Regions from separate parts of the Mus musculus genome. Here region 1 is reported to be linked to region 2. Evidence: microRNA targets listed by miRTarBase, many of them from high-throughput screens and not tested one by one. Region 2 holds a microRNA gene; the other region holds the end of a gene's coding sequence.
The links. The annotated mature microRNA mmu-miR-3070-2-3p reads UGGUGCUAUGGUCAGGGGUAGA and lies in region 2 at 2,034-2,055, shown strand. An mRNA with a match to its seed (bases 2 to 7 or 8) in the 3' UTR can be bound and repressed. Matches are read on the target gene's strand: a 7mer-m8 pairs with bases 2 to 8, a 7mer-A1 pairs with bases 2 to 7 and ends in A, and an 8mer does both.

Region 1: miRTarBase lists Mtcl1 as a target of mmu-miR-3070-2-3p. Seed matches in the 3' UTR shown: 7mer-A1 at 3,451-3,457.

What each region holds. Positions count from the first base shown.
Region 1 is chr17:66,333,634-66,338,706 of GRCm38, forward strand. Mtcl1 (microtubule crosslinking factor 1) reads right to left here. Exons shown (of 14, transcript NM_172963.4): 14 at 3,349-4,521. The coding sequence ends at 4,327. Among named protein-coding and RNA genes, the nearest start is that of Mtcl1, 110 kb to the right of the region's middle.
Region 2 is chr12:109,586,615-109,591,687 of GRCm38, forward strand. Mir3070b (microRNA 3070b) reads left to right here and starts at 1,978; the gene lies at 1,978-2,066. Rtl1 (retrotransposon Gaglike 1) reads right to left here. Exons shown (of 2, transcript NM_184109.2): 2 at 2,579-5,073. The coding sequence ends at 3,555. Mir3070a (microRNA 3070a) reads left to right here and starts at 1,329; the gene lies at 1,329-1,417. It overlaps Mir431 (microRNA 431), which reads left to right and starts at 3,833; the gene lies at 3,833-3,923. It also overlaps 6430411K18Rik.

The DNA.
Region 1 (5,073 bases), not on the chromosome of region 2:
GAACAAATCTTTTCGGTGAGATAGGTCATCCTAGTCCCACAAGAACTAGGCTAAGGAAATCAGGTCAAGATTCCATCATTTCCATTCCATTCAGATGTATTGTGCAGCACTGATAACTGGGCCACCGAAGCTCTCTCCAGTCAGGCCTACATCCAGAGACCTCAGCTCTCCCCTTACAGAACGGTAAGACAGACACACAGACAAACACACAGACAGACAGACACTTTTGCTGAAGTATCAATGTCCAATGATTGCTTACAAGTGCCTATCCTTAAAGAAACCCAGCACAAAGCTCCGAGGACCTAGCTGCATAAGGGAGAGACTTTGAGAGGAACAAGCTCTTTAGCTGCCAGGCCTAGGAGGCTACAGGAGAATAAATAAGGGCTTTTAACAGAACAGCTAGGGGTGGCTCTTGGGTTCCTAGCGAGTGTGTAGTTCTTGGCAGTGAACCCCACTGCTGCCTTGTTCTTTTGTGAGCCTTGAGCTTGGGAGCCCCACCCCTACCCCACACCTCTCCCTCCTTTGGTGGTTCCAGCTTGGAGATGTGCATGCACACACACACTGGAGCTCCTCTGATCAGTCTGCCCAAAGCCTTTGTTTTCCCACCTAGAAAACCCAAACCCTTCCCCGTGGGCCCCTGGGGCTCCCCACGACCCCTTGATTTCTCCTCGGCTCTTCTCCAGAGCTCTCTACCCCTCCCTCTAGCCATGGCGACCCCCACTTCCTGCAACAAAGGATGTTTCACAGTGACAGCACTTTGATTAGATTCCCACCCCACTCCTACCCCAACTACATGCAAAGAGCACCTGGGGAGCCCTCTTAGTCGTCATGAACCAGCTCCCCACAGCAGAATTAATTTATACCTTTTTCCCTTGTAAGAGACTTGAGCCATTTTCCTTTCCTAATGTCTAAAACCTGGAAAGTGGTTTCCTTTGAAACTCAGAGACCCGAATGAACCTCAGCTTACCTGCTGTCACTGGTCTTGGATGTCATTTAAGGCATTGATAAGGTCATCTGGGCTACACGGAGAGATGTTCAGGGGCTCTTGCTGAAAGGGGGCGGGGGAGTTACTGCGTGAGCTGGAAATGGTGATTTGCTTGACATAGTGTGACATTCATTATGCATAGCAAAACATTAAATACATTTAATAAAAATTTAAGAGATTAAATATCTGCAGATCTCCTAAGTCATTTTATAGACAAGGGTAAAGAAAAATAATTAGAATTATGTACACATATATTAAAAACTAGATGCACACACTGAAAACCTTAACATAGCATGTTACCTCCTGGAACAAGTATACAGCCATCCACTGTGGTTTGCTGAGGTCTCCAGGCTGCTGGAGCTGCCGTCCCCCACTGGGCAGGGCATGCTGGTGGGTGAGTCTTGTTCCCTGGGTCTCAGGAATCTGCCACATCTTTCTTTAGGCCAGGAGAGCAGCTGGTGCATGAATAATGACGGGTGGAGATGCTTCTCTTGGACCCTTCCCTGCAGACAGCTGCTCTGCCTTCACAGTGGACCCCAAATCCACAGAACTGCCTCAGCACCCGTTTGGACTGACCAGCGGGAAATGACAGTCTTGCCTTTTAAAGTCTGAGTGACTCCATGATAGTATTTGGAGGTTCCAGATGGCTTTGTTCATGAACTCTGCAACTAGCCAGCTACCTGATGGGGCTGTTCTTATGAAATCTCTCCGTCATTGACACTGGAATGACGCTTACACTGTCTGCACCAATTGGGAACTTTACCTTGTCCAACCAATTTTCTGGTGACCAGATCTTGTTTCTGTAACTTTGGGGTTGTCCTTTAGCAACTCGAAGCCCATGCTGCCTTCCCGGCATCCTCTTTCCCTTATTCTAACAGTTCCAATGCATTTTCTGGGCCAGCCTGTCAACAGTATTGGCTCAGGTAGCTTTGGAACAACACCATGATATGACTTATTCCAAAGCGATAAGGAGCATCGAATTTGACGAAACCTTGGTGAGAATGTCTTTCTCTAGGATTCCCAAACTAACAAGGGGATGGGCACCATCAGCACCAATACCTAGGATGCTTGTCTCAGAGTAAGGATCTAGAGGACACAGACTTGGAGACAGCAGTTCCAACTCATGCTGTGAGCATCCCAGCCCCTCCTTGCTGGCTCCCGCTGTGCTGCTCTGCACCTGTCAGCAGTGCTTTCTGTCTTTAAGACTAGGGACTGAGCCCAAAGCTTCAAACACTCTAGGAACGGCCATGGCGCCGGACCCCAGCTCCCTCCCACGAACCACCGATCCGCTGAGAAGTTCTTTGTGGCTTTATCTAGTGTGGCTATGTGAAAATTTTTATTTTCTACATTAAAAAGGTTTGATTGTGGTAAAGTGTCCAAGAGCTTTCCTGTGCTAGCCCTTTTAAAGTGTTAATTCGGTGGCATCAAGTGTCTCTTGATGCGGGACAGCCATGACTTTTACTTCCGGGATCTTTGCTTCATGATAAACTGAAGCTGTGCTACCATCTCATGCCAACTCCCTTGTCTCTTGCCTTCAACTCCTGGTCACCACTACTTCAATTTGTCTCTACAAATGACTGGGTTAGTAAATGTCACAGGAGTGGAAATCATAGCTTTTTATGACTGATATAGCTCATCTACTAGGTCTTCAAGGTTCTCCCACATTGAAGAGAGTACCACACATCCTGTTTCCTTACTGCTAGCTAATATTCTACAGTGTGTACACATTTTGTTTCTCCACTCCTTTGTGGGTGGCCATGTATGCTGTTTCTATTTTTGATTTTTCTATGTAACACTGCTGTGAAAAGTATCTATATGAGTCTTATTTCAACTCAGAAGCTCCGTGTATCCAAGTTGGGAATAGATGACTACATAGTAACTGTTGGTTGGATAAAGGAATGTTAGGGTGTCTTCCACAGTGGCTGCACGGCTTAATGTCTCTACCAATATGACATCAAGACTGCAACTGCTCATCTCCTCACTAACACTTGTCCTGAGGCCATTTAAGGAGGAACTACACAATCCTGGGAAGAGGCCTTATTACCTCATCTGAAAAAGAAGGGAACGGTTGGGTTAATGAAACTTGAAAGCCAGAAACTCTGGTCCTTCAAAAACAGTTCTGTGCTCCCCCACAGTCTCTTTGGAACCCCAACCTACAACACCAACACGCTGGGCTGCAAAATCTGCACGGAGACAGAGTGATGCCTAGCGCTGCTGTGTCCCTCTTTCCTAGTGTGTGCAGCTCTTCCTTTAAGTCCCCTGCACTCTGTCCGCTACAGGAAAACCCAGAGACACTTTCCATTTAGAGCTGAAGAAGACAAGGGAGAAGAAGGAGCCAGCAATAAACGGTGACACCAAGACCCTGTTGCTTTCTTGTAAGGACTTTATTTCCATGTCACCGTGGTCTCAGGCAGACCTGAGGCACCTTTGTCTGTCTCGGTTTGGCCTCCTTATTTTTTTTTTTATGGTGCTTTTCCTTAAACAAGAAAAATGTCAAGTGAGATTTGTACACCATCAGTTAATGTTTTAACAATAATTAAAAAAAATGGAGCCATTGTCTTACTGGTACAAGAGACCAACAGCAACAGTACACACGGTACAAGGAACTTCACAACAAGTTACAGTAGACCAGACTGACACACACGCAGGTGAGGGCAGGGACAGAGCAGTGTATGTACAGGTGCCCGAGGACGTGCGGTCAGGCTGGGCAGATGGGTCACGCAGAGTCTTAAGTCTATCTGAAGGGCTCCGTACCTTTTCAGCAAGGTTGGCCTGCATCCTTTCAGATGACAGACACTCTCGTCTTCTGGCCTCACGGCCTTATCATTACAAAAAGTTCACTGAGTTAAGACAGTCTAAAGCGTTAAGAAAGACTCCTGAAAAATTAAGACTGGACAAAATAAAATTTAACTTAGAACACTCCGAACTCAACATGGAGAAACCCAACCAGAACGGAACAGTGCAAATTCAACAGGCAGGCAGAACTGAGAACAAGGGTGCTCGGAATCTCTTCAAATGTACATTTTAAAACTCTTTAAATCTATTTATACCTTATTTACCTTTTTTGTTTAATATATCATGTGTAAAAAAGATGGGAGACAAAAATAGTTTTCTGAGCTATGAAAAAATGATTACAGGCACGTTTACTGTTTCATTCCCGAAACATCTCAGTTTACCAGGTTGAACATTCAGTAGCCGTGTGTTTTTAAAAGCATCCTTCGACCTTGAGAAAGGATCTACATCTTTCCTTTGGGATGGAGGTTGGCTGATGGCGGTGATGGTCTGGTTATGCAAATTACAGTGAACTATTCCGGCGATCATCCACGCAAGCTTGCATCCTGTCACAGGTGTGGCTTCTCCTCTGGTGGGTCCTCCTCACCGTGTTCCTCCATGGACATCGGGTGTCCGGGTGACTGTGACTGTGAGGCAGTGGGGGAAGGTGGGGCCCAACGGGATGGAAGGCGGCGGTTTGCTGGTCTCTCTGGCCTGGAAAAGCAGGGCTCTAGGGAGGGCGCGAGCGCAGAACAAGGCAGTTCCTTCAGAGCCGAGAGAGGGAGACAGTGTTACTCAGATCTGCAGTGTCATGTGGGCCACAGTCCCAACATACTCCAAACACACTGAAGTCAAATGAAACAAACCAGGCAGCTTCAGCATCTGAATGAATGATTTACAGCATGCATGGAGTAACTTAAAATGATAGGTTAAACACTCCACATGAATGATTAGTGATGTGACCTGTTAACGAGGTGACAGAACACAGCAACACGGTGACACGGGGCTGCTTTGTAGGGCATCTCCAGAACTGGGCTGGAACACAGAAGTAACAACTGGGGACACCTTGTCCCCGGCTCACCCTTGAGCCTCTTGAAGGATCCTTTGAGCTACTGAGCTGGTCTCAAGGGATCTCAGGCTACTGAGGTCCACAGTGACCTAGGGTTACATCCACAGTGACCTAGGGTTACATCCAGCCGTAGTAGCAAAGGAATTCAAACAGAACTCTGTTTATTCCAAGCTGATTGTCGGCAGGCTAAACAAACTCCCACAAGTTGTGGAAGAAAACCCGTTGAATTCAGAAATTTTAATTGAGG
Region 2 (5,073 bases):
CCATTATTAACTGCATTTACCAGCTATGGCAGCCAGCCCCGGCACACAGGAGCACCCTGAGTGAATAGCCTGGAAGCTGTGAAAGGATTTGAGGGCAGGACAGGGAGGACCCAGGCCACACCCAGTCCCCCTCCCCTTCACCACTGTCTCTCCCTTCCCTGTCCCCCCCTCTGCCCCCAATCTCCTTCTTCCTACTTGTGCTCCTGCACGGTCTTGGTGGCAAGATGGTCATGCGTGTCTCTCAGCTCACACAGGTGGATCAAAGTCCAGATGAGGTTTGCTGCTCAGGTCTCAGATCGTGTCTAACGATGTGGTCCCCTGGGCCCAGCACCAGGGCTTAAGGTGTATGGGACAGTTGAGGGGTGGGTAATATTTTCTTTTCCTTTTCTTACTATGGGGGTAGCCCAAGTTAGCCCAGGTTACCCAGGCATGTGGAGATCTCTGCTCCAGCCTGGTGAGGAGCTGGTAAAACTCTGGACTCAGGGTCCTGTGTGTGTGCTGTCACTGGCTCTGGTACCTGCAGGGACATCTTATAAGGGGAAGCAATGGAGAGGACAGGGAAGGTGGGCAAGGGAGGGCCCCTGCTCCTCTTTGTTCCTGGATGCTGTCAGAGCTCTCTGGTTGGGGACTGAAGCTGGGAAGTGGGGGCAGCTCCTTGGTGGGTGGAGTCTGCAGCCAGGGCCTGGCCTCTGGTTTTCACCTTGACAGGGTTGGAAGTGATGTTATCATCCCCTAGCAGGAACTTTCACACCAATTTCTTTCTTTTCTTTTCTCTTCCCCAGGAGAAAAAAAAAGGTTTGTGTTGTGTTTTTCAATCTCTATAAGTGGCTCCGCCGATAACCTGATAACCTACCGTTTTAGCACGTTTTAGCACGTCACCAGCTCTCTTCACAGTCCGGACCACCTCCTTTTGCTGTTAATGGGGACAAATCCCTGCTGGGTAGATTGGTAGGCCTGCGGGCCTTTATTGTCCTTTATGGTCTGTGTTCGTGCGGGCTGTGGGTAAACGCACCTCTGCAGTCAACATCACTGGCAGCCTCTTGGCGGGCTGCTGGCTCACTGAGTTCTCCTTCACTCTCACTTGCTTGGGGCCCTCAGGGCCTTGGGGCCCCTGGCAGTAGTCCTGACCTAAGTCATCTCTGCATTCACTGGGCCAGAGAAGTCCTCACCAAGCAGGGACAGGATTGTTTTGTTTTGTTTTGAGGCCCAGTTTTGTTGGAGGTGCCCAGGTAAACTAAGTGAGGGTACAGGACTGGTACGTTTGTTCTCCTCCAATAGGACCCCAGTCCCACCTTAAGGTTATGGACGCTCCTTAGGAACAGGAGGAAGTGCTGAGTGAGGCTGAGCCCCTGACCTTGAACCTGGGATCCTATCCATGATCTCCTGGTGCTACCGTCAGGGGTAGATTCCTTGTCATGAGGCCCCTTAGGACCCATAAGGACACAGTGACCCCAGTGCAGGCTGGAGGGGGCGTGGAGGGATGCAATCTTGCGTTCTAAGTAGGGTTTTTCTGGGACCCAAGCTTATAGATCCTGTATAGATGGGATCAAAGAGCTGAAAGCAGGTAGGGGGAGGTGTCATGCTGGGTATCCAGGGGTCTGACACATTCTCAGGCCAAAGAGGGCCCCTTGAGGTTAACTCAGGGGTACATTTCCAGGCAAGATATAAAGGGCAGAGTTAAGAAAGGGCCCTTGGGCGTGAGGGCCCTGCTCATTGCACCTGCCCACTATCTTTGAGGTCACAGTGGGAGGGGGCCCTTGTTTTTATACTCCTAGCTTGTGTGCAGATTTTCTGGGTAGGAAGTATAGAGTTTGTGAGTAAGGGACTATTTGCTCAATTTCCCTCTACCCCTAGGAGCTCCTTCCCCATCCCAGAGTATCCCTCAAGATAGCTTTTTTTAAGGCAAGGATCTCAGGGGCCAACTGTGGGAATGGTTCCAGTGGGGGGCCACTGGAGCCTCCTTAGCAACAGGAGGAAGTGCTGAGTGAGGCTGAGCCCCTGACCTTGAACCTGGGATCCTCCCCATGATCTTCTGGTGCTATGGTCAGGGGTAGATTCCTTGTCATGAGGCCCCTTAGGACCCATAAGGGCACAGTGACCCCAGTGCAGGCTGGAGGGGGCGTGGAGGGATGCAGTCTTGGGTTCTAAGAACTGTTTTTCTGGGATCCAAGCTCAAACATCCTGCCTGTTGACCCTCCTCAGCTGTGGGCATTGAGCACAGTCTGGCCATTCCTCATTTCTCATGTGACTAGAGGGCTGGGACCAGATGAGGGCTGGGAATTCTGGGTACCCTCCTTCTGCCCCATGAAACCCTTGGTCCATTTCCCAGAGGAGCCCAAAGTTTTGAGAGTGAATTGACTTCCCTCCCTTTAGGAGAAGACAGGAGGCCTGTTGCTCCATGTCTTCATGAGCTGTTTCTGGAGAGTCAAGCCCTCCTATCCCTGCCCCTCCCACCCTTGCCCTTGCCCATCCCAACCCTCTCTTCACACTCCATCCTTTCTGACCCCATGCTCCATGTTCTCCAGTCCTGCCTCCTACTATCCACCCTCTCCCTTTTAGAACAAACCACAAAGTCAGATAATCTTTTCTTCTCTTTATTCATGGGGCAAAAGCAGGTATGAGTTGGGAAAGCAATGGAAGGACCTCTCCTTCCTGTGGCAGTGAGCAGTGGGTCTGGTCAGAGCACTCTTGGCTCCTTGGCACAGTACTCTGGGTATCTGGGGCTTCACCAGTGTCTCTTGGGGGCTCCCTCCTTTATGGAAGGTCTCTGTCCCCTGCACTGTCCATATGTCCATTTGGGGAGGGAAAAGGGAGCCCCACTTGGTTGCTACCACCCTTTCTTGGGTCCTCTGAGTCTCAGGGACCTTCAGGGTGGATCAGTCCATCTGGTAAGTCACACTGGTACGTCGAATGCTCCTTGGAGCAGTTCTGCCCAGGTAAGATCAGAGTTCAGGGTCAGATGAGGTGTCAATGGAGCCGGACCAGACCGGTAGTGGGTGGGTGGGTTGTGGGGGGGGGGGTGGACTTGCTTGCAGGGTGGGCTGGGGTTGTGGAAAGCATGGAACCACAGCACCTTGGGAGACTGGGAGGGAGTAGGGGCGTGTCCAGGGGAGTCGGAGCACCGGTGTAGAGGTAGAAGTCCGTGGAGCACCCAAGGTCAGTGTCCCAGGATGCACAGGTGGCCGCCTGCCACTCAGGGGGTGGTGGTGGGGTCACTGGCATCTGCTTGCTTGGCTGCACCTGCTGTATCTGCTCTGCATCTGGCCTGGGGTGACGGGGTCACTGTTGCTCATCACTGCTCTCTCCTCATTGGTCTCACTCCCTTTTGTGGGCCTGGGGCCCGGACAGTTAGGACAGTTAGGGTTACACAGTCTTGGCTGGTTCTGGGACGCTGATAGTTGGCTAGTTCTTTAGCACAGATGATGTTGCTGGTTGATGAAGTTGTGGCCCTTCACAAGTGGGTTCCCCTTGGGTTAGGAGTAGCAAGAGGGTGTGCTGGATCTGAGCGAAGCTGGCCGAGGCACAAGGGAAAATGACAGTGACTTGGTGTGTTTTCAGTCAAGTTCATCATCTGAGTCTGATAGCTCTTCTAGCCTTGCCTGTTCCCTGGCTGGGGAAGGCAGCGCCATTCTGGAGGCCATGGCCAGGAATCGTGTGAGGGCCTGGGCCACCTGATCTCTGCTAAGCAGAGTAAGGCGGCCATCGGTGCCCAGGGTGTAGAGTAGCCGGTTGTTGAGGAAATCTAGGACCTCTGGGTCCAAAAGATTTCGTGGTCTGAAGGTGACCGCTTCCTGGTCGCCAAACAGGTCCTCTTGCACGTCGTTGTCCTGCGCGTCCTGCGAGGTGTCTTGCAGGCCGTCATGCAGGCCACACTGACGGTAACGTTGCAGGTCGTCTTGCAGGGCTTCTCGCAAGACGACATCTTCATCCCCAACGACGTGCAGTTCCAAGTACCGGTGCTGGTAAGGGTCAGGAAAGACGTCATCCTCAGGGTTGACTCTGACCCCAAAGAACTCACACAGGGTCAACCAGAACCCAGGGGTGAAGCGCATCCCCCGTGGAGGCTGGGAATGCAGAGCATTCCGATGCCAGCACCTTGGGCCCAGGAAAAGCTCAGCCAGCTCTCGAGCTGGGAGGGTGTTGGCACCCACTAGAGGGGGCATCTGGCTGAGCAACTGAGCGATGGCTGTGGCCATGCCACTACTCGCAATGAGGGTCGAGTCCAGGATGAGTCGGAGTGTGTGCCGGTGCTGAGGCCTGGCCACTTCCAAATTAGGGGCAGGCACTGGGGAGAGGGGCTGCCTTGCTCTCAACATCACCAGGACAGCTGCCACACCCAGGAGACTCTTCCAGTAGAGCAGGCCACGGAAGAAGTTTAGGACAACGGCCCGGATCTGGGCCACACTGAAGTGAGCCAGTAAGCCATTGAGGATATGGTCCATCGGGATGGCAGCCAGTAGCTCCCGCACCATGCTGGGCACCTCCTCATCTTCTTCCTCCTCATCCTCTTCTTCCTCATCTTCCTCCTCCTCTTCTTCCTCCTCTTCCTCCTCCTCCTCTTCTTCCTCCTCTTCTTCCTCCTCTTCCTCTTCCTCCTCCTCTTCCTCCTCATCCTCTTCTTCCTCCTCTTCCTCCTCTCCTTCTTCCTCCTCCTCTCCCTCCTCCTCCCCTTCTTCTTCTTCACCATCTTCCTCCTCCTCCCCTTCTTCTTCTTCACCATCTTCCTCCTCCTCCCCTTCTTCTTCTTCACCATCTTCCTCCTCCTCCCCTTCTTCTTCTTCATCATCTTCCTCCTCCTCCTCTTCTTCTTCACCATCTTCCTCCTCCTCCCCTTCTTCTTCTTCACCATCTTCCTCCTCCTCCCCTTCTTCTTCTTCACCATCTTCCTCCTCCTCTTCTTCATCATCCTCTTTATCCTCAGTCTCAGAGGATCTGTCAAAGTACCTTAGATTTGCCCTAATGGACATAAGCAGCAGTGGGCGCAGAAACCTTGCTCTGAAGCCTCTCTGGTTCCAACATCTGCGGAAGAGTGCTTGTGTGTCACCTTCAGCTGGCATCTCCATAACACCAAAA